Mus musculus: one gene and its partners. The protein of the gene in region 3 interacts with the protein of the main gene of each other region in a pairwise test. Links are inferred from orthologs where the notes say so. Each region holds a gene or a part of one and is shown on either strand. Other genes may lie near its edges.

Region 1 (5,678 bases), on a different chromosome or scaffold from region 3:
TGTTCCAGATGTCTGGTTCTGGCAGAAGAACAGCCATTTGGATGACAGTCCTTTCCTTAAAGACAGGTAGGCAGCAAGAAAGAGTCTAAGGCAGCCATCAAATGAAGAGTCACACTGGACCGTCCTGAACATCTTTGCTTACTTTTAGAACCACAAACATTAGAAGGAGTGCTTGCCTTTAGCTAAGTGTTAGTGTTAAAATCACTAACAGTGGTTTTAACAGCCATTGACTTTACCAGAGTCCAACACCTGTATAGTGCCTCAATAAGAGATGGGTCTCTTTAATCTATCTTGCTTCCAACTGGCACCCATCAAGTGCCCTAATGATCACACCTACCCCCAGGAGAACACCTGACTGCCTCTACTTTGTTAAAAAGCCCTACTGAGCTGGCAGTGGTGGCGCATGCCTTTAATCCCAGCACTTGGCAGAGGCAGGCAGACTTCTGAGTTTGAGGCCAGCCTGGTCTGCAGAGTTTCAGGACAGCCAGAGCTACATATTGAGATCCTGTCTAGAAAAACAAAACAAAAGGAAGCCATAGGGACTGAAGGACCTTAAATCGTTATGATATTAGGACACCCATTGGTGCCAGGACAGATCTAGCAATGAATAAATTAGGTAAGAAAAGAGGTGGTACTCTGGTTTTTGGAAATGTTCACCATGAAAAGCTCTGATAATATAGCACAGTGGAGAGTTCTTGTCTAGCATGCTGGAGATCCTGGATTCAATCCCTAGTAGTGTGTCCTCTTTCAACAACAACAACAACAACAACAACAACAACACAGAAAAGAAGGCTCTGAGGAGAGCTTACATAAACTACTTTCTTGTAACTCTGTCCCAATAAAATCCAACACCCTGGTCCTGCTCATGCAGAAACTGCCTTCATACTTTGGTCATCAATTAGATTATCTAGGCTGCTTCCAGAACTTGTTGTTTTTTTTGTGAATAGTGTTGAGTAGGAAAAGATTCTGCAAATTTGGTTAAAGCTTCTAGTGTGGAAATCTTCCTAGCTTGTGGGTGCATCGTGCACCTGAATAATAGAGAGGTAGAAAGAGAACATTTGTTGGGTTGGGGAGACATAACTCTGCAAAAGTAAGGAACTTTTCTATGTCCTCCTTGCTTAATGACACGGAGACCTTTATATTTATTATAAAGGTGAGGCGCAGAGCCAGGCAGACTCTAAGCTATTCTAACCAAGTATGCTGGCCTACTTCCCAGCCATGTGGACCTTTCCTGCCTTCTCAGGCTTGCTCTGGCTCCTCCTCCTTCATTCCTGTTCGGATTCCTGTCTCCCTTCTCTCCCACCTGAGATGCTCTCTCTGTCTCTGGCCTCAGAAGTCCTGCCATATCCTCTCCTGCCCAGCCATAGGCTATTAAGCTCTTTATTTAACCAATCAGGAGGTGATAGAGAATAATATTTTATAAAATACTGAGTCATACTAAAGTCGAGACTGGAGCTGGACCTCTGGGTACAGGAATCAGACAGAATACAGAGTGCACAGAAATGTCCCTCAGCATAACTCAGTAAGAGAGCTTACTCAAAATCTAGAATTCCATCTCCAGCACAAAACCAAACCAAAACTTTAATAGTTAAAAAAGTAATTAAGTGCTGGGCAGTGAGTGGTGGTGCATGCATTTAATAACCCCAGCACTTGGGAGGCAGAGGCAGGCGAATTTCTAAGTTCGAGGCCAGCCTGGTCTACAGAGTGAGTTCCAGGACAGCCAGGGCTATACAGAGAAACCCTGTCTCGAAACACCCCGCCCCCCCAAAAAGAATCTATTAATTCTTCCCCAACAAGTTACATTCCCAACCCTTTTGTGTTTTTGTTTGAGCACTGACAAATGCTCACACTGTAGCCCAGGTTGCTCTTGAATTCTCCAGGTTGCTCTTGAATTCTCCAGCCTCAACCCCACCCCTGTCCCCCACCGAGTGCTGGGATTCCAGGCTTGAGCCCCCACTCTCGATCAACAAGCAGTTGGCTTTGGCTGACACGCTTCCTTCCTCTCCGGTTAACATTACTACTCCCCACTCCCGAAGCTTTCTCAGAAGGCAGTGTCGGCTCGCCCAAGAGCCTCCCGCTAGCTGCCGTGCGCCTGGGGGCGTGGCCTGGTGACTCCGCCCCTCGCTGCGTGCGCACGTCCTACCGTCCTGGCGCTCGCCCTCTCGGCTGCGAAGGTACAGAGAGAGTCGCAGACGCGGAGACTGACTGACCTGCGGAGCCACTGACGGTGAGTGGTCCGCTCTGTGCCCCGTCCTCCCCTCCCGGGTCCTTGCATGGCGGCGGCCTTCTTCGAAGCTCTGCTCCGCTGTCCCCCCGCGACTCGTCCTCAGCCTGAGGGGACGTCGGGCGGGGGGTGGCCGGAAGCGGGCTGAGGCGGGCGAGCGAGCGAGCGGGAGACTGGGGGTCGGAGAGGGGCCACCGAGCGGGCCTTGAGCGTCAAATGAGCCCGAAACCGCGGACGTCGCGCTCTAGACGGCTTTGAGCTCCATCCCCAAGAGTCCTCTGGTGTTCCCGTGGGGCATAGCCCCTCCCAGCGTCACGAATGCTCTTGAGGTGACTCCGGGGTCGAAGTTAGTGCAGCAGCGCAGCACATGAGCCTACCTGAGGTCCCGGAGGAGCCCGGGGCGTGGCGGCCTTGTTGGCCAGCCTTCAGTGGCTCCCCTCGGTGGCAAGATCCCTTAGAATCCCTGTGGGGACTTGATGAGTGACCTGTGGTTCTGAGTGCAAGACTGGGAGGACTCAGTCGTAGATGTAGCCGGTTGGTCTGGCCCAGGAGGTCACCTGTCACCACCAAAGCACAGAGCTCCAGGTGACTTAATTGCTCTGTAAGAACTGCCTGGACCGCCTTGCACACTGCTTGCACAAGGACTGTCTTGTGTCATGCCGTTTAAATTGGTTCTGAAGGACCAGTTGTGGCCTGTGTTCAATTGTGGGCACCGCAAACTCAACTAGAGAAGGGAGTGTTCCCGAAAGACAGAAATATCATATACTGTCCAGTTGAGGGAGAGCGCTTGCTCTCCAGTCCTTTCTAAATCCTTGAGTGTTTTACTACCTATAAAGTGAGAATATTAAGAGACTCGTGAAGTAAATCCACGAACATTCCACAGGCGAGATAACAGCACTGAAGATCTTAGTTATGCATAGACATCCTGTGATTTTTTCAGAAGTGGATTAGAGATTAGAAATGGTTTTGTTTAAGTGGTCATACTGGCCTTAAACAGTCTAGTCATGTAGAAGGTTTTGTGCGTTCCTATTTCTGGTATAGTGCTTCAGTTTATAATAGTTATTATAAATGTCATTTAATACATAATTATTAAGAAAGTTTTTTTTGGCGGTGCAGTTTGAACAAGATGAGCATGTATTTTACTACTGAGCCCACAACCCTACCCAGTGTTTTGTGTTTTGAGAAGGAAATCTTGCCATGTAGTGTGCACTAACTGAATTTGAGATCCTCAGGCTCCTAACTGTTAGGATTATGATGAGCTTGCACTATAGTGCCCAGCCTAAATCTTTTTTTCCCCCCTTTGAGTCAGGCTCTCTCAAAATTATTTAGTCCTGTCTTTAAACTTTCTCTATAGACAGGCCTCAACTCACAGAGATCCCACTGCCTCTGCCTCCTCTGTGCTGGGATTAAGGTGGGTACATCATGCTGTTTTGTCAATGTTTTTAGTTTCTTTGAAGAGTAAAAAGTATTCAGTTTTTTCTTTTTTTCCCAGAAACATCACAAGACATAATCTGTTTGCTAGGAGTTCCCAGTTCAGTAGGATATTTATAAATTCACTTGATAAAAATTGGTAAACATTTGCTGATAAAGTCCCTCAGCCAAAACACTGATTAGGGTGTGAGGATCTGTGAGCCTTGGAAAGTTGCATGCTTACTGAATGGCCTGATCTCACTGGGGACCTGAAGAGGAAATCCTGCAAGGCCCCTGGTTTGACTTGAGTTCCTTTCTTTCTTTGCTTGTGGCAGTCAGTTGAGACGTTGAGTCACTAGATATAGGAATATGAGTGCTCTACAATTGCTAAAGCCACTGAGCTACAGAGGTCAAATGTTAATTGTCTTTAACTTAGTCAGATGTGTTGAAACTTGGCAGACTTGGATAGTTGGGCCTACCTTGACTTTTAAATTTTTCTTTTAATAGCAGACTGTACAGGACAGCTGTACTTTGCATCAGAATTGCACCAAAAACTAGAATATCACCCTTCCAGAAGGCAGATCTTTTAGAAACTGGAATTGCATAATTCAGAGTAAAATTCATAACTTAGCCTTTCACTCCTTGGAGAAACAAAACAAAATAAAACCTCAAATGGTCTTTGAATCTTACTGGCCATAGTTAAGTAAAAAATTAAATGTATTCCTTTTTTGGATGCTTGGGAAGCAACCAATGGGAATTTCGGAGCTGGTATAAGACATAGTGATCTGCTGTAATTCCAGCATTTGGAGTTGTTCAAGGACATCCTTGACTACTTATGTCCATTGGTGTTTTTCCCACGTTTGTGTCTATGTCTGATCCCCTGGAACTGGAGTTATAGACAGTTATGAGCTGCCACGTGGATGCTGGGAATTAAACCTTTAGAAGAACAGTCAGTGCTCTTAACTGCTGAGCCATTTCTCCAGCCCCCTAATATCAGTTCTTGGCAATAGAGAAAGATTTTTTTGCTTGCTAAAATTTGTAGCCAGGTATTGGTTTTCTGACTTTTTTGTAGCATCTGAGCTGGAGTTGGGGTGCAAGGTAATCTACTTGAAAATTCAGGAGCAGCCAGACAGTGGTGGCATATGCCTTTAATTTCATCGCTTGGGGGGCAGAAGCAGGCAGATCTCTGAGTTCAAAGTTCAAAACCAGCCTAGTCTATAGAAAGAGTTCCAGGATAGCCAAGGCTGCACAGAGAAACTTTGTCTTGAAACAACATTATATGTGTGCTCATCAGGGAGGCCGGAGCACAGCTTGTGGAAGTTGGTTCTCCTTCCACAGTGAGATCTAGGGGTCAAACTCACATGGTTAAGCTTGCACTATTACCAGAGGATCCATCTTGCTGCCCAAGGAACTTTTTTTTTTTTTCGGTTTTTTGAGACAGGGTTTCTCTGTATAGCCCTGGCTGTCCGCCTGCCTCTGCCTCCCGAGTGCTGGGATTAAAGGCCTGTGCCACCACGCCCGGGTAGAAAGAGACTTTTTTAGTTGGCTGTTTAAATTTTAAAAACTGAGATGGGGGTTGTTGAGGTTGGAGAGCTCTGTGTTGGTTCTTTCTTTACAACCATTTGAGTCCCAGGGATCAAACTCAGGTGGTCATGTTTGGTGGCCTTTCTCCACTCTACTCTCACTGGCCCTGTTTTGCTTTTGAGATAAGGCTTTCACTTTGTAACCTAGGGTACACTTGAACTGGAGATCCTTCTACTTTAGCTCTTTGAGTGCTGGTATTACAGTGTTTCCCATTATACCCAGTTAAAAACTGCCCTGCTTTTTTATTCTTAATTTTTTTTTAGATTATTTTTTACTTATGAGTGTTTTGCCAGCATGTTAAGTTGTGTACTATATGTGTACCAAGTACCTGAAGGTCCCTTGGATCTAGAATTATGAATGGATGTAAGCTACCATGTGGCTTACTGATCCTGAACCTGGGTCTTCTTCAAAAGCAAGTGTTTTTACCCATGGACCCATCTCTCCAGCTGCTTTTTTTTTT
Region 2 (5,895 bases), on a different chromosome or scaffold from region 3:
GGAAGCTAAGACACAAAGAGATCAATTTGATTTGATATTTTGAGGTCATAAACCAGACCAGGCAAGGGGGGGGGGGGAGTTGAAGCTTTGACAGAACAGTTCTACACCTTGTTCTGTATTGTATTTCTTTTTCTGAAAGAAACAGCCTCATAGCTGGGCAAGGTGGTGAATGACTGTAATCCAAGCAAAGAGAGGCTGAGGCAGGGTGGCAAGTTTGAGGCCAGTTTGAGTGATAGTTACACCTTGTGTCAGAAAAAAGGCTTTATTGGGGTCTATTGTGGGGCTCTCAAGGACCTGCTTATGGTTTAAACAAGACACTAGACTTCTATACAGTTTTAAGCATTTGGCCTTTATCTAGGGCAGACTCTGCTAGCTTCTAACTTAACCTGACTTCCAGCCTGGCCCTGCCTCCTAGATAGCCCTTTCATTCCCTGCTCCTTCTGTGTCTGCTTAGATACTCCTGCCTCTGTTTGCATCCCCTGACTCTGCCCGCCCAGAAGTTCCGCCCCCATACTTCCTGCCCCAACTATTGGCTGCCAGATCTTTATTATAACCACTCAGTAGTAAGATCATGCTAGACAGGCTCTTAGGTCGCCTAAGGCATTCCTCCAAGCTTGACCTTCATCTTTTGGGAAGGTTTGGAAGACATTTACAAAATAGGAAACCTGGGGATGTGCCATAGAAATGACAATTCCAAAATCCTGCCAGCACTTAGCTCTCTGCCAGTACAGAGTTAATAACTGGAAATACAGAGACACCCCTTAATACAACAGGGGTCTAACTGGCATGCAGCTTGTTATAGGTATTTCAGGTGTGTGATTTTGCATATTTTGACATGGACTTACTCTTGTGAAAGTGTCCCTGTGTTAGTAACTTTTCTGTTGCTGTTTTGGAGATGCCAGTACCATGAGATGACCACCAAGAGCAGCAGCAGCAGTGGAGTACAGGCATCTGGAGCCTAGAGGATGACGCGTGTGCTACAAAGGGCATGGCTGGAGAAGTGACCCAAGCCCTTGGAGGAGCCCAGAAGATTGTAAGTTGGATCCCAGACATTGGACGGTTGGAGATTGACTTTTGCTTTTGATTGTGGCTGTGCCCTGATATTTTCCCTCTCGAAGGAAGAAACTGTTTTAGTGGAGCCCACAGTTAAGAGACTTTTAATTGTAAAAAGACTTTGGATTTTAAAAGAGATGGCTATTTTAAAGAAATTGAAATTTTAAGAATATGTAAAGACTGTGGGACTTTTAAAGTTATCCGTTGTTAAGAGCTCTGTCGGATGTTGTGTAGGAGCTTGGAAGACAACGTTGAGAACACTGCAGAAGATGGAGGTCTGGTTTGTGAAATTTCAGAGGGAAAATTAAAGACTCTTTTCAGGGCCATTGCTGTTTTGATTGTGAAGATTCTGTAGTTCTGGTTAGCTGGGGCTGAAGAATCAGCTGTGATTAACAAGATACCAGAACTACTAAAGCAAAAACTTTGCATTACTGGGACTATTGATGCTGGTTAGCTGGAGCTAAGAAATTAGCGGTGATTAAGAAGAGACCAGCATCATTGAGGTGACATCTTCTGGGAAGTGTTTTCTGAGAGCACAGTGGCTGTGTTCCAGATATAGCCAAAGTTGTACATTGTGCTGTGGCTGGACTTGGTAATGTGTAAGGGTCACCCAGGTGGTACTGGTTTTGAAGGCATGAAGGAGTTGAGCAGAGCACTTACTATCACTCCTAGTGACCCTCTAGGAAAATTTTTGCTTCCTGTCCCCATAACTCTAGGTTCTGCTGGCCTAGAAGTTTTGGCTCCAGAGAAGGGAGTGCTCCTACCAGGAGCTACAACAAACATTCCATTGAACTGGAAGCTCAGACTTCCCCCTGGTCATTTTGGGCTTCTAATGCCCTTAAACCAACAGGCTAAAAAAGGAATAACAGTGTTAGGAGGGGTGATAGATCCAGATTACCATGGGGAAATTGGATTACCTCTTCACAATGGTGGTAAGCAAGATTATGTCTGGAGTGTAGGAGATCCCTTAGGGCGTCTCTTAGTACTACCATGTCCTGTGATTATTAGGACACAGTATATATGTCGCCATTCCAAAAGTGTGGAATAGAGGCATAGCGAAGAAATACTGAAACAAAGCAGGATTAGAAGCCTGTAGGAAAAATACCAAATCCTGTAGCTCCATGACTGGTATCTGTAGTCCTAGGGCTAGACCGCTATGATAGCTATTGCTATTCTTGGTTGTCATTTTGACAACCCACACCTGTAATTATCCTAAACCTCAAGGGGTAAGGAGTTCCTGTAAGGAAATTTTCTTGATTTTTCGTTTGAGGTGGGAAGATGCACCTTAAATCTGGGCCAGGTCTTCGGGTGGCAGCCTAATGGTCGTGGAAGAAGGAAGTGCATGCTTGCCCCGACTCTCGTTGGAAAGTTCACTCCATTGCCATTAGAGCCTAGTTCTTCAGGATTCTGAAGTATACCGGGGACAAGCTGAGCCATCTGTCAACGCCTGCGCCCCGCCCCGCCCCGCCCCGCCCCGCCCCGCCCCGCATAATCCACCTTGCCCCATCTCTGGGCGTTCCCCCCGACCCCACCGGTTCCATTCTCTCCAGGAATCAATTGTCTTGTTTCTTGGCGGCACACTCTGCTGGGTTCTCCGAGGCCTTTAAGTTCATCCCCGTGCACTCTGTCTCCTAAAATTACAAGCACAGCCTGAGGCGCTCCATCCACCCAAGTGCTTTCTGTCCGGCGCTGAGCGCTTGCTCTGGCTCCGCTGCGCTTTCTGCGGAACCTTGTGTCGTAGACGTGTTTCCAGAGGAGTGAGTTCGCTGTGGTAGTTAGGATTTACCAGCTTCCGGCGGCCGCTCCGACTAATGGCGGTGAGCTGTGGGAGAAGGCGTGTTTGTGGCGAGGCCCTAGGTGGGGAGACCCTGTGAATTTCGTCCTGTCTCACGATTTTTCAGGAGCCAGGGCGTCCTGCTCGGGAGGCACCAGCAGCCTCAAGTCGGAAAACTCATCGCGCTCCGCGCAGACCCCGGCCCTCTCGCTCAGCTTCCGGTGCCTCGGAACCTCCTCTCCGCAGTTCAGTGCAACCTGCATGCGACTCCGCCGCCGGAACCCATCCCGTAGGCAACACAGTAGCGATGAAGCAAAAGAAAAAGAAAACCCCCAACAGGGTCTCTGGGACAAATGGAAGCGAAAAGCCCTCGGAGAAACCTGCCCCGGACGAAGCTCCTCCTAGCGCTGAGGCCCAGGCAAGGATGGTACTCCCTGCGAGCTTTCTGGGCGCTAATCCGCCTGCCTCTGTGGGCGAGCTGTGCGGAATTAAGGCGCTGAAGGTATGGGAGTGGGGTCTGCGGGACCCTGTTACCCATCACAACCATGTCCTCCTTTCTGTCCCAGGCGGAACAGCTGGCGCGGGAGCTGGCCTGGTGTGTGGAACAGCTGGAGCTGGGTCTCAAGACGCAGAGACCTACCCCGAAGCAGAGTGAGGGACCCTTCTCTACAGTTAGGGAAATGTAAACGGTGACAGTTCTGTGGTCTGATGGTATTGCCAAGGGGTGGGGTTGTTGCTTTTGGTTGGTTTGCTTTGTTTAGGTGTACTGAAACTTAGTTGTGTAGACCAGGCTGGCCTGGAATTCAGAGATCCGCCTGCCTCTGCCTCCCCAGTGCTGGGATTAAAGGCGTGCGTCACCCCAGCTGGATGGGAATTGTTTGTAGTAGGATGATATGAGTGTGTTTGAAGTCACTAGCTCTTTTTCTTTTTCTTTTTCTTTCTTCTTTCTTCTTTCTTCTTTCTCTCTTTCTCTTTCTCTTTCTCTTTCTCTTTCTCTTTCTCTTTCTCTTTCTCTTTCTCTTTCTCTTTCTTTCATCTGCAGAAGAGCAGGCTGTTGGGGCAATCCGAACGCTGCGCAGTGAAAAAACCCCCTTGCCCCGGAAGAGACAGCTGATGCGCTCCTTGTTTGGGGACTACAGGGCTCAGATGGATGCAGAGTGGCGGGAGGCCCTACGGGCTCTAAAGGCTGGTGAGGAACTAGAAAGCGATTGGTTCAGTACATTAACGTCAAGGGGGTAGGGAGAGGCTCAGCTCAGCAGGGTTGGTGTGGGAAGAGATGGGCTCGGGGGCGGGGGGGATGTAAGTGGGGAGAAAGTATTCTCTCTTAGGGGACAGAGGTCCTGGGGGGAGGAGGGCCGAGGTCCTCACCTCGTTCTGTTTTGGGGATGAAAAAAACAGCTCCTCTGTCTTAGCCTGGGCTCACTTCACTGGCCATAAAGCCAGGTACCAGTTGGACTTTAGTTCCTGGGACTAAATAATAAATAACTTGGACATAAGTCCTGGATCTGTTACTTAGATCATACAACATATCATTTTGTGAAAATGATCTAAATTTTGTTACTTAGATCATATAACATTTTTGATAAGTTACTACATCTCTTGAGTCTCATATGGGAATGACATTATTTACTTTAAGATAATTTTTCAGTTTTTTTTTTTTTTTTTTTAGTTAGGAAAGTTGTGTGGGTAATTGTAACTGCATGGATGAAAGTTAGCTATTCTGACTCTCTGCTCCCCCTTCCTACAGCCACCCATTCGGCCCAGGTACAGCTCGTCAGTGAGGCCACCAGAAAGAAGAGCGGAAGGGTCTGCAGGCCTCGTCCTGCAGAAAGAGCCAAAACCACTCCGGACTTGACCAGCGAAGAGTTTCGGTTCAATTTCTTTTAGGGTCTCCTACATGCTGGACCGCTCATCCCCCTCCAGGGTGGGGTGGGGATGTGTCCTGATTGCAGGGCCTTCCCAGGAATTCTCTCAGCAGAAGTGGGGTTGGTTTGTCCTTCATTGCAGCATGGACCTGAAGCGGCTGGCCTATGTGAGGCTGCTATGTGGATGTGGAAACCTTTGAAGGAAATGTTCTTCATGTCAGAAGAGAGGTGCAGAGTAGCTGCTGATGATAAGGAACTGTGGGGAAGTTGTGGACACAGTGGGCTCACTTTTGAAAAGATGCTCAGGCCATTTTTCTAGTGCTTTGTATATTGTTATATCGCCTTAATAAATCTTTTCTAAGGAAATAGGATGGTGTGAGAGAGAGAGTTCCGAATGTGTTAGAGGAGGCAAGACTGCTTGGTCCAGCTCTGATCCAGGACTTAGTCCTTTGCTGCTGTTGTTGCTGTTTCCCTCAGCAGGTTGTCGTCTTCTGGAGCCAGTGTGGTCTCCATCAAGCCACGTTTTGTTTTTAGGAGCTAAGAAGCTACTCACTGTCTTAGCCTGAGCTGAGTCTTAGCAGACTGCATCAAAACAAAACAAACACAACACAACCTTTATGTGTGTGAGTGGTATTTATGTGTGTGAGTATGAGCATGCTATGTGTATAAAAGCATCTTTTATTTGCCTGGTGTAACTGTCTCCAGAGGCTCACTGCCTTCGTCTGCTAACCTAGGCCTAGACCTGGAAGCTTCTCGCTTGGTCTTATCTAGGCCTAGAATGTTTTCAGTGTCTGAGACCTACTGCTGAATAAGCTCACCCTTTTTAGCACTTTCTGAGCTCTGTGAACTCAGCTGTTCTGACTCAAACGCCTCTGCTAGCTGACTGACTCAATCTGGCTTCTCTCTCTCAGCCTCTTATTTTTAGCTCTGCTTGGCCTCAGACTAACTCTGGCAATCCGTTCTAATCCTCTGGCTCCTCTCATTCTCTAGCTCACTCTGTCTTCACCTGTGTCTAGCTTGTTCTCTTTCTGCAACCTGGTAAAACTGCCTCCCCACCCCCTCTCTCCCCTGCCCCTGCTCCTCCCCCTTCCCCTTAAGTAACTTTCCTTTCCTCTCACTTCCATATCCTATTATGTCAAATCTTTCTGATTTGTCACTTTGCCACTCAGAAGTCACTTTCCAATATTGTGCTTCCTTCTACAA
Region 3 (5,860 bases):
CTGGGTAAAAAGGGACCTGGATGGGTAGAGAGACCCCATTATATATTATGAGGTGTCCTGGGCTAGAGACACTGAGACTTGCCAGCTGTGGCTTGCAGGGGAAAGAAGGACAGAGATGAGATTTGGAAAGAGCATAAGCCAGATGCTATATATCCCTTTGAATCTGCATCTCAGTGGGTAGGCTTGAGGTCCTCAGGGACTGACGAAGGCTAACTTGGTGCTAGGCACAGCCTAGAATCAGTGTGTGACTGTGAACTGTCTCAGCCCTAAGTGCCCAGGCTCTGGCAGCTCCTGGCTTCCTCCCTGCCATCCTGTCCACCCTGCCAGCTTGGACTGTTCCAAATAATAGACAGACCCTAATGGCCTCTATGTGTTCTGCAGTGCTCTACCCTTCCTGGGCGCGTGCTCTCCCCGCCTGTCCCCCCTCTCTCCAGAGTCCCACATTAGGTGGTCTTCAACACCTGACCCTCCTGTCTCTGACTCCTGAGTGCTGAGGTTCCAGGTGAGCTTCCACCACGCTCAACAATGGTTCTCAAAACCCTGAGAAGATGAGGAGCAGGCCGTGGCTATCAGTCCTCATTCTAAAGATGAAGGTTCAGGGAAACCAAGGAATCTGTCTGGGCTACCACAGCGGCCAAGTCCCAGAGCCAGGACCTCAGCTCTGCTCTCCAGGCTCCAAACCCTTAGCTCATCCTCTCATCTCTTGGGACAGTGCCCTCCTCTGAATTAACGGTGTCACACGTACAGAACTGCTCCACACATTCCAGAATGAGCATCTGCTCTTCGTCCTCCAGGTTGTCAAGGTGGGAGGCCTGGAGGAAGGGAAAAAGGAAGGGGTGAGGCTGTCACCATCCCCTGCCCAAGGGCGCGCCCTCCTCACTGTCCTCACCTCCTCTCGCAGGTGGTCGTTCTCTTCCTCCAGAAGCCTGAGCTTCTGCTGCAGGGTTTCCAGCTGTGGGCAGCGGTGCGCTGTCTCAGCCTTAGGGTGTCTGGCAGGGGGGGGAGGGCGATGATGAGAGTCAGACTGTAAGGGCTGGAGGATCCCAGTCCCCAAGGCTTCCCCAGCAATGACAGTGTCAGCAGGCCCATGCCCATTTATAAACGAGCAACTGAGGCTCAGAGAACGGATGATCCCGGGCACAAAGGCCGAACACGTACGGCTTGGGGGCACCATAGGGGTGGTCGTGCTGCTGGTCTTGATCCCTCTGTCCTTCTCGTTCCTCCTCTTCGCCCTCTTCCTCGTCTTCCTCGTCTTCCTCATCATCATCGTCATCAGAGTCTGAGTAGAGCTGAAGAAGGTCATCTCGCAGGTTCACCTGCTTCCGGAGATGTAAAATCTAGGGCAGGGGAGAGAAGCCACGGAAAGATGAGCACAAGGGGGCAGAACGGGTGCTAGTCTGGGGAGGGGACACACGGAACTCTCCCTGGTCCTTAGGAACCCAGATACCTCCTCCCTGGCTGAGCCCAGCATGGTTTCCAGCTTATTATTCTCCTCCATCAAGACACTGTTCTGTTTCACCAGGGACTGGCCGATCCGGGCGGCTGTGTTCAGGTCCCGTTCTTTCTGCAAAAGAAGAGCCAACCATTCCAATTCCTTCGAAGTTTCCGGGACCTCCCAAACAGGAGGGAGAAACCAGGGCTAGGTCACAAGAAGACTATCTCTCCAGCACCCAGTCATCCAAGTACCAAAGACTATTAACCATCTCCTGGGTCTGATAAGATCAGTCCAGATTGGTCCTCTGTAATCTACTTGCCTTCCAGGAAAGGGGCCTTCAAGTTGGCTCCCAGGCAAGAAGAAAACAGACAAAAGCCCGAAGTCCTGTAGGGCAGAGTTAAAATGAGGGCTGGCCTGAGTGAGGAAGGCGGTACCCACCTCTTCCAGCAAATACAACATCACTTTGACATCATCTTCGGTGATCTTCTTCGTGGGTGGTGGATTAGGACACAACGCTGCAGGAGGAAAGGCCCAAGTGGGTCAGGGAAAGGAGCCGAGGCTGCCCATAGACCACTACACCCCTCACAACAAAGATTGTGAGACTGCACTCCATCTGGCCCTAACACCCTCTCCACAGCTCCGGATCTCCCCACTCCTGCTTTCTCAGGAGGGGCCTGGATGCTGTAAAGGCAAAACCATCCTCTGGGCTCAGGAACTGGACTCTCAAGACCCCTGGGTCTCTGGGCCCCTCGAGATAAGAAGTCAGGGAAAATACTGGGCTCATCATGCCCACCCCCAATCGGCATCTTAGCCATCACTGGAGTCTCCTCGATCATAAAAACAAATGCAGTCACCCATCCTAAACCTGTTGCTTGTCACAGGAGGGCCAAGTAGACTTCTTCAGCACCCAGAAGCGGGCACCTGAGCCTAAAATTGCCCCCGCCCAGAAGAGGAGGGACAGAAGCCCAGTGCCCCGCCCACTCCTCCCTCTTCATTCCAGCTTCGGAAAAGTACGACCCAGACCCCCTGAGGACAAGTAGTGGTCAAAGGCTCCCCTACACACACACCTCTACCCACCCACGCAGGCTGGTTCCTGCGGGCTAGCGCAGGCTCAAAGCGCACCCGCAGCCCCCGCCCCTCTGCTGGCACTGCGGTAGACGGGGAGGGGGCACTGAGAGTGCGCAGATCTGCCACAGCAACAGGCGCGAAGAGGCGGGCGGAGAGCGCGAGAGAGCTCTGGACCTGACGCACCCACAATAATCGGGAAACCGGAAAAGGGGGGGGGGGAGATGGGGAAAGAGAAACCAAACCGGCACCGCAGACTGTGGTCTCGCGGGGGTGGTGGAAAGGTGGAACTAAGAGCCACAAGGGGGCGGGGCGCCTGAGTCGGTGCACCCCCTCCTACCTGGAGATGCCCAAATAGTGCCCAATGCGGGATCCCCGAGACTCAGTTTACCTTCCTGCAGCTCTCGAATAAACGCCGCACGCTCAGGGCCGGACACGCCGGGCCTCCGGCCGATGTACGCGGCTGGTGTCTTCCAGATTCCCTCGGCCTTTCCAGTGCCCAGGCCAGTGGCCCGGGGACCGTAAGGCCCCTGGAATACGTAGCGGGTCCATGGTGCGTCCGAATCACCAATGATCATGGACCGACAAAAGCTTCCTGTCTTGGTTCGGGATCCTGATTTTTGTCCGGACCCGGTTCCCTGCGCTGGAGCAGGTTTGGGCTCCGCCGAGGGCTCCGGAGCGGGACCAACTGCAGGCTGGGTCGTGGGGGTGCCTGCTGCTGGGTCCCCCGACCCTGTCCCGTCTCCCGCACCGCTCTGCACCTGCTCTTTCGGGCGCATCTTGACTCCGCAGTCCGCTGCCGCAGCCGGGGCTTTATAACCTGTGCTCGGAGCGGGCTCCACTGGGCTGTACCACGCGTGGCGCTAGGGGTGACCGTTGATCAGTTAGTGGTGCCGAGGACTCAGGATCCTGCAAGAAAGCAGCCAGTGGTGACGAGATAGGAAGTAAATAAAAGAAGAAGAAAGAAAGAGATGAACTAGTGCCTAGCTTATTCCGTGGGGTCGAGTCCACGGTGATGGATTTCTCTTCCCTTCCATCTTCTGAGAATGGTTCTGTCCAAAGCCGCCGCTTCCCTGGACTTGAGTAGAGGGACCCGTAGCTTCTGCCTAGAAACAACCCCCCCTTCAGCCCCCCGCGCGCGCTCCCGCCACCCCAGCTTCCAGGGGCTTTCTGTGTTGCCCTACCCAACATTGTGTACAGACCGAGGTGACCTGAGAATCGAGGCAGTACGCCTGTGCCTTCCCAGGTAGACTAAGCGAGAAATCCAAACTCCGGTATGGCTTTCAACGTGTTGCGTGTCATCCACAGGTCCCTCTCACTCTCGCGCTCGCCCCTGGACGTCTTCCATCTTAGTGCGTTCACTCGTTCTTTATTTCCAACCCTAATTCTCAAGCCCTACAGTCCAAGCAAGCACCTGTTCTGTTCTTCAAACATTCCAAAAAGAACATCTTCGGAGGGGATCCTGCTTAAATGTTTCGCTGTGACGACTCTTCAAGATCCCCGTGTACACACACACACACACACACACACACACACACACACACACACCAAAACATCCGTTATCCCAGGGTCTGAACTGATCGATGTCGGTCTCCACGACTTTACCCGTGCTCTTCAGCTCATGGACGGACGTATGCTCCCCAGAAAAATGGCTACTTTGGAAGCTGGCTCTCAGTCCTGAATGAACTGGTTTAAGGGGTGGGAGCTAGGGAGGGCAGTAGCCATTTCTGTGCTTTTAGACTGGGAGACAGGCTAAAGGGAGATGGATGACTCATGGACTCAAGTCTCAAAATCGTTCTTGATGTTCTCCATTCTCCACCATCCTCCAGTGGACAAGGCTATTGACTTTACGTTTTTTAAAATATTTATTTATTTATTTTTTATATCTGGTGTATGAAGGTGTCCATGTCAACATCAGTTGTTGTCCGTCCCTTGCCACCTTATTTTTTGAGACAAGGTTCCTCACTGAATCTGGAGTTCAGCACTTTGACTAGACTGTCTGGCCAGCGATTCCCCAAGACATCCACTTAACTCCACCCTACCCCTCAGCCCCGGGGTTTACAGACAGGTGCCACCATACCAGACCTTCATGTGGATGCTAGGGATCCAAACACAAGCCTTTATGTTTACACGCAGACCGAGACAGTTTACACATGCGCACACACATGTATGTATGTATGTATGTATGTATACACACACACAGACATACAGTTTTATTTGTGCATATGAGTGTTTTGCTTGCTTGTATATCTGGGCACCACTACCATGCCTGTTTTCCACAGAGGCCAGAAGAGGGCATCGGATCCCCTGGACCTGGAATTACAGATGGCTGTGAACTGGGAGCAGAACCCTGAAAGAGCAGCCTATGTTCTCACCCACTGAGCCATCTCTCCAATCCCCAACACGCCCCAATTTTGTTTTGCTTTTGAAAGAGGGTCTCACTCTGTAGTCCAGGCTAGCTTAAAATTCACTATGTTGCCTAGGCTGGCCTCAATTCTCTTGCTTCAGACTTTCTTGAGCTGGAATTACAAGTCACACCCAGCTTGAATTTGCCTTTTAAATACCCCTCAAACATAGCTAGTTCCAGGCAGCCAAGGTTACAGAGCAAGACCAGACCTCTAAAAGAAAACCTTAAGTTCTTTTTTTTCTTTTTCTTTTTCTTTCTCTTTTTCTTTTTCTTTTTTCTTTTTTTCTTTTTTTAGTTTTTTGAGACAGGGTTTCTCTGTATAGCCCTGGCTGTCCTGGAACTCATTTTGTAGACCAGGCTGGCCTCAAGCTCAGAAATCTGCCTGCCTCTGCCTTCCAAGTGCTGGGATCAAAGGCGTGCACCACCACCGCCCAGCATTAAGTGCTTTTCAAATGTTCGCATTCTGTACCAATGGTCTATTTTGCAAGCAGAGTGTTCCTCCCTTCTTCTCAGATTGTTGTGCTAGCCAGCCTCTCCCTATACCCCAACACACGTCCCACACACCTGTCTTACACCATCCTGGGTCCAGGTACATTCTAGCTTCTGGCCAGAGGTGTACATGTACTGTACATCCACATTGCTGTACAGGTCCAAACATGCACACACACACACACACACACACACACACACACACACACACACACACACACACCCATACATGCACACACACAAATACACACATTAGAATAGGTACTCAATATGTGTGTTGGATGAATACACACCAGGCATGCATGCGATGCACAGCCCTTCATCCACACATTTATCTAAGCTAAAGAACTCTGGCACCACTTCTTCCCAGCATCCTTGTCTGAGCTATAGACAGGGCTGATTCTCAAGGTCTTTGCCTAGCAAAGCATCTCCTAACGCATTCAAGGTCAGGTTTCCACACAGTC
Region 4 (5,127 bases), on a different chromosome or scaffold from region 3:
TTGAAACTCGGGGAGGATTATAGCTAATGATAACTGATGCAGTTTCATTTTTGTTTTAGTGATGACTCCTCTGATGGCAGCTTATTTAAAACTCAGTGTGCTCCTTCACCTATACAAAAGCAAAGACACCCTACTGTGAAACGTGTTACTTTACCTGCAAGTGTTGAAACAGATTCATCAAGTGACTCTTCTATAGAACCAAGGCCTCTGACTTTAAAGGCTATTTTTGAAAGATTTAAAAAAAAGAAACGGAAAAAGAGGAAAAAGAGAAAATATGAGCCAAAATTAAGACCAAGAGGAAGACCAAGAGGAAAACCATCGGGAACGAGGATCACTAGAAGGTCGCAAATAGATGCAAAACAAATTAAAGACAAAGGAGCTGTGTTTCCATTCTTAGAATCTGAGAGTGGAAGAAAACCTTTACCTTGGAAGAAAATTTTAACATATGAGGTGAGTTTTTTTTTTAAATGTAGGTGAATACATTAGGTAAGATTGAATGGTTTGTTGGCCATTCTTAATTGTTTGAGGGACACCTGAAACAGATTGTTACTTTTAACAATAGTGACATCCATATAAAGTGCTCCAATTTTCATCTCTTGCATCACTAGAGAAATGTGCACAAGCATATTTATCAGTGTGCACACAGATTTATGGAGTTGTACTCCAGCTGGGTCCCTTGAGGTCCCTTATATTATCTCTAGACTATTCTGAAGCACACCACACCCAGCTTGCTTTCAGCAGTAGTCAATCCTTTGAGTACAGGCGAGAGAGAAGGTATGGTACCATTTAAGGCCCACTTTTAGAAGTCCCAGGAAGGGCTGGAGAATAGGACCATGAAGGAAGCTGCTGGTCCTGGGCATTGTTAGCCTAGGACCTCTTGCTCAGAATGGTAACACCCACCCACAATCTAGGCAATCATACAAAGATCCTCTGTTGAGGATCCCTTCTAGGGTAATTCAGAGCTATGCCAAATTGACAGTTAAAAGTTAACTAGTCAAGGGCTAGAGAGAAAAACCCAAGTACCCAGATACTACTTAGGTTTCTCAAATGTTTGAGTATTAACTGTTGAATGGTTGCAAGTGGTCGGAAAATGTAATCAGTGATTAATGTCTACTTTGTATTTATTTGTGTATGCACGTGCAGACATGGCAGAGCTTGCCAGTTTGGGTTGTCTTCCTATTCACCTTGTTCTTATTGTCTTTACTACCCAAGTCTGGAATTACAGTAGAACCATCATGCACATAACATTTACGTGGTTTCTGTGCTCTCACATCTGGTCCTTTTGATGAACGGCAAGCCATTGTTTATTTAGCCTCTTGGTACAGTTTCAAACTTGATTATAATTAGTATATGATGTTTTAATATTTAAGGAATTGTGTGTTCTAACTTGCAGCAAGCTGTTGCAAGAGGATTTTTTCACCACATTGAAAAACTCAAGTATGAACACCACCTTAAGGAATGCTTGAAGCAAATGCATGCTGGGGAAGATTTAGAAAAGGAAGACCTTGACAGTCGGAGGCACAAATACATGGATGATGATGGTTCACTTTCTCCTATTGAAGAGCCATTGTAAGTTGGATCTTGAAGGGCAATTTATGGGGTTTGTCATATTTAAGCTAATTTAAAGACAGTCTCACTACTGTACAGCTTTGGCTAGGGTTGAACTCATTTACCTGCCTCTCAAGTGCTGGGGTGGGTGTGCCATCTATAAAATGAAGATCCTATAAAATTCTTCAGTAGTAATCGTAACTTCTAGTCCATTTAAGATTGTTTAATCTGAGGTAATGTGCACAGGACATCAGCTTTGGGAGGATTATTTTTCTTTGACTATAGGTTTCAATGGTATCAGAATACTAGGTAAGATTTGTGACACATTCCATTTAATGTTACAGAACTGAAGATGAAGCAACAAATCCTCAGGCTGAATGTGATATCAAGTTGGTTGTAAGTGGCTGATTTTTATTGTTTCATTTACAGAATGTACAAGTTGTATACTATTGAATTTTTGTTTAAGAGTGGAACTACTATTTAGGCTATTTGATAACCAAGGATTTTTTTTTTTTTTTGTGACTCTTCCTCTTAGTCCCAAGTGTTGGGGTCTGAAGCCTTGTCCACATTTATATTTATGCCAAGGTATCATACTGCTGAGTTATAACGCTAGCTTTGAATATTTGTAGGATATTGAGGCCAGAGGTTAGACTGGCCTCTTGAGACCTCAAACCAGTGGATTAACCTACCAGCATGGTCTTTGCTCCTGCTATTGGCTTACAAAATGTGTATCTCTGCCTGGCTCCAGTCTTAAGATTTTTTTTTTTAAACTCAGTATTATGTTTTGTTTGCATGTAAGTATACCAGGTGTATGCCTGGTGCCTGGAACTGGTAGGTGCAAGGAATTGAATCTTAGTCTTAATTAAGAGAAGAAGCCAGTGGGCTGGTGAGATGGCTCAGTGGGTAAGAGCACCCGACTGCTCTTCCGTAGGTCCAGAGTTCAAATCCCAGCAACCACATGGTGGCTCACAACCATCCGTAACAAGATCTGACTCCCTCTTCTGGTGTGTCTGAAGACAGCTACAGTGTACTTACATATAATAATAAATAAATCTTTAAAAAAAACAAATAAAAAACATTCAATTTAATATGTAAATGTTAATTGTTAAAACTTTAAAAAAAAAAGAGAAGAAGCCAATGTTGTGGCTTATTTTGTGCTGTTTATTCTATACTGTTTTCTACTTAACTGTGTGAGTGCTTTACCAGCATGTATACCTGATTAATGGAAGAGGGCACCAGGTCACATTTACCATATGGTTGCTGAAATTTAATGCAGTACCCCTGAAAGAACAGCCATTGGTGTTTAACTGCTGAGGCATCTTTCTAGCCCTGAAAAGCCAGTATTTTTAACCACTGATCTAGCTTCTGATAAAATAATAAAGAACTTTTAGCTAATCTGGTGTGCTGTCAAATGAGAAAATAGTGCTGGTATAGTAAGGAATATATTTGCACTCACCCATCAGTGAGTTTAGTTACTAGTTTTTTTGTTTTTTTTTTTTTCTATTAAATGCAGGAAGACAGTTGCTTCATAATAAGTTCAGAATTCTCAAGGAAGAGAAACTTGGAACAAGAGAAGATTAAGAAAGAATCTACATTTTCTAAAAAAGCCAAAGATGCCACACACAGAGAGAAAGGGCACAGAAGAACCTTGAAAGGAAATGAACATGTGACTATTGAAGAAGGTAAAGAACATAGATAACAGTGTATGCCAAGTAGATCAAGAACTAATCTGGGGAAGAAGATAAACTTGCTGGTGGAACGCTAATAAATACTTAGTAAAGCTTTTTTCGTTGCTTGATTTCAGAGTAAGAAATACTATAAGGATTATTTTACTACTATAGTAAACATGATTGTGATTCTGGAAGGAAAATGCTAACAATCCTATACATGTCTAGATTCAAGACCCCAGCCTCGCCCTTTTGCTCATCTGCAGAGCAAGGTCATGAAGAAAGGAGAGTTAGAGTATCTGGAGGTTCACCACCTCTGTGGTCTGTCGCAGCCACTATGACTATGAGGAGGAAGAGATGATTTGAAAATTGGATTAAACTCCTGGACTCTTATACTAGAAAAAATAAACTAATGATAAAACCCAGCCTCTTAAGTGCTTAGCCCAAATTATTTCATATTTGTGTGTTTTGCCTACATGCATATGTGTGCAGTACCCAAGATCAGAAGGTATCTGTGCCTGGAGATCTAAAGTTACAAGATGGTAATTAGCCAGCCATTGTTGGTTATGAATATGATTTCCTTTCCTATTCATAGATGGGCAGTGGTGGCGCATGCCTTTGATCCCAGCACTTGGGTGTCAGAGGCAGGTGGATTTCTGAGTTCAAGGACAGCCAGAACTATTCAGAGAAATAAAAAAAAAGTTATTATCTGAGCTTTCTCTTCGAACCCACACCCAGGTTCTGTCTGCAAGTCTTAAGTCAAACAAGTGCTTATCTTCCCCAAGGGGGGTTTGAATATTACCACTGTTCCTACTGTCCTATTGTGGTCACAATTGTAAAACTGGCTGTGTCAGATATGGACAGCTTTGATAGCACTTGTGTTTTTGTCAGCTGTTGGACAATGGCCAGTTGAACAGGTGCAAAAATATAAATCCTCTTGCAACCCAGAACTCATTGCTCAGTATGAGTTTTGATATATACAAGAAGGAATATAAGCACAAAGGTGTTATTGATGAACTTGGTTCTAGCAATATCATATATAGTTTACCTTATAAAGGTAATGGAGTAGATGGATATTCCTTTTTTTTTAAAGGCTTGTCTTGATTATGAAGTCAGAATTGGAAGATACCCATGAATGGATGTTTGTTTCAGTGTTGTAAGTAGCATGTAAATTTACATCTTCGGAGTTATGTTAACTTTCAGTGATGCTAATTCTATGAAAGTTTTAGAGTGCTCCAACCCCTCAGTAAATCCTAGAACATTAGAATCAATAATTTGAACTGAAATAGGTATGTTTAGCAGAAGAACACAAAAATAAGGCTTTAAGGTCTTATACTCAATTTACAATATTATAAACTTCTCAAGCATGGTACATCACAAATACAGTGTTTGAAAAGTGAGTTAACTAAGAATCAGACTGCCACTTTATTTAGTTTTATCTATCTGCCTGATGTAATTGTCTCTGAGCCTTACTGCCCATCTGCTAAAGAAGGCCTATCCTTGGAAGCTTACAATCTGATGTAGGTTTAGAATGTTTTCAGCCTTGGAGACTTTGCTGAAAAAGCTCACCCTTGATATTGTCTGGTTTACCTCAGGTGTTCTGGCTCATTCCTTCAAGCTGACTGATTCATTCTGACTTCTGCCTCAAACTACCTTGCAATCTGTTCTGATCTGGGCTCTTCACTCTTGGCTCATTCTGTATTCACCTGTGTCTAGCTTGATCTCTCTTAACCTGTCTTTGTAAAGTTCTCCTAGTAAAAATTGCCTCTTGCCCTCTTACGTTGCTTCTCTTCTGACATTTGGGCATATCTTATTCTGTTAAATCTTTTTCACTTTGTCTGCTACTCAATTAGACATCACTTTCATGGGTGCTTTATCTTTCTTCATTGTTTAGGATTAAAGGTATGTGCGT

The links.
Region 1: the proteins of Hap1 (region 3) and Hmox2 interact in a two-hybrid assay, tested with the Homo sapiens proteins (2 studies listed by BioGRID and IntAct). The link is inferred for Mus musculus from reciprocal best matches to the Homo sapiens genes HAP1 and HMOX2.
Region 2: the proteins of Hap1 (region 3) and 1110038F14Rik interact in a two-hybrid assay, tested with the Homo sapiens proteins (2 studies listed by BioGRID and IntAct). The link is inferred for Mus musculus from reciprocal best matches to the Homo sapiens genes HAP1 and C8orf33.
Region 4: the proteins of Hap1 (region 3) and Taf1d interact in a two-hybrid assay, tested with the Homo sapiens proteins (2 studies listed by BioGRID and IntAct). The link is inferred for Mus musculus from reciprocal best matches to the Homo sapiens genes HAP1 and TAF1D.

What each region holds. Positions count from the first base shown.
Region 1 is NC_000082.6:4,724,245-4,729,922, forward strand, and holds the start of Hmox2 (heme oxygenase 2), read left to right. Parts: upstream 1-2,116; 5' UTR 2,117-2,227; intron 2,228-5,678.
Region 2 is NC_000081.6:76,945,675-76,951,569, forward strand, and holds 1110038F14Rik (UPF0488 protein C8orf33 homolog), read left to right. Parts: upstream 1-2,586; 5' UTR 2,587-2,864; coding exon 2,865-2,870; exon of another isoform or gene 2,871-2,954; coding exon 2,955-3,245; intron 3,246-3,393; coding exon 3,394-3,478; exon of another isoform or gene 3,479-3,509; intron 3,510-3,869; coding exon 3,870-4,016; intron 4,017-4,574; coding exon 4,575-4,714; 3' UTR 4,715-5,305; downstream 5,306-5,895.
Region 3 is NC_000077.6:100,352,799-100,358,658, forward strand, and holds the start of Hap1 (huntingtin-associated protein 1), read right to left. Parts: upstream 3,344-5,860; 5' UTR 3,280-3,343; coding exon 2,892-3,279; intron 1,951-2,891; coding exon 1,874-1,950; intron 1,565-1,873; coding exon 1,448-1,564; intron 1,338-1,447; coding exon 1,159-1,337; intron 990-1,158; coding exon 890-989; intron 813-889; coding exon 746-812; intron 1-745. UniProt on the Homo sapiens protein: Originally identified as neuronal protein that specifically associates with HTT/huntingtin and the binding is enhanced by an expanded polyglutamine repeat within HTT possibly affecting HAP1 interaction properties.
Region 4 is NC_000075.6:15,308,466-15,313,592, forward strand, and holds the end of Taf1d (TATA box-binding protein-associated factor RNA polymerase I subunit D), read left to right. Parts: intron 1-59; coding exon 60-450; intron 451-1,393; coding exon 1,394-1,569; intron 1,570-1,892; coding exon 1,893-1,944; intron 1,945-3,061; coding exon 3,062-3,230; coding exon of another isoform or gene 3,231-3,247; exon of another isoform or gene 3,248-3,443; coding exon 3,444-3,556; 3' UTR 3,557-3,639; downstream 3,640-5,127. UniProt on the Homo sapiens protein: Component of the transcription factor SL1/TIF-IB complex, which is involved in the assembly of the PIC (preinitiation complex) during RNA polymerase I-dependent transcription.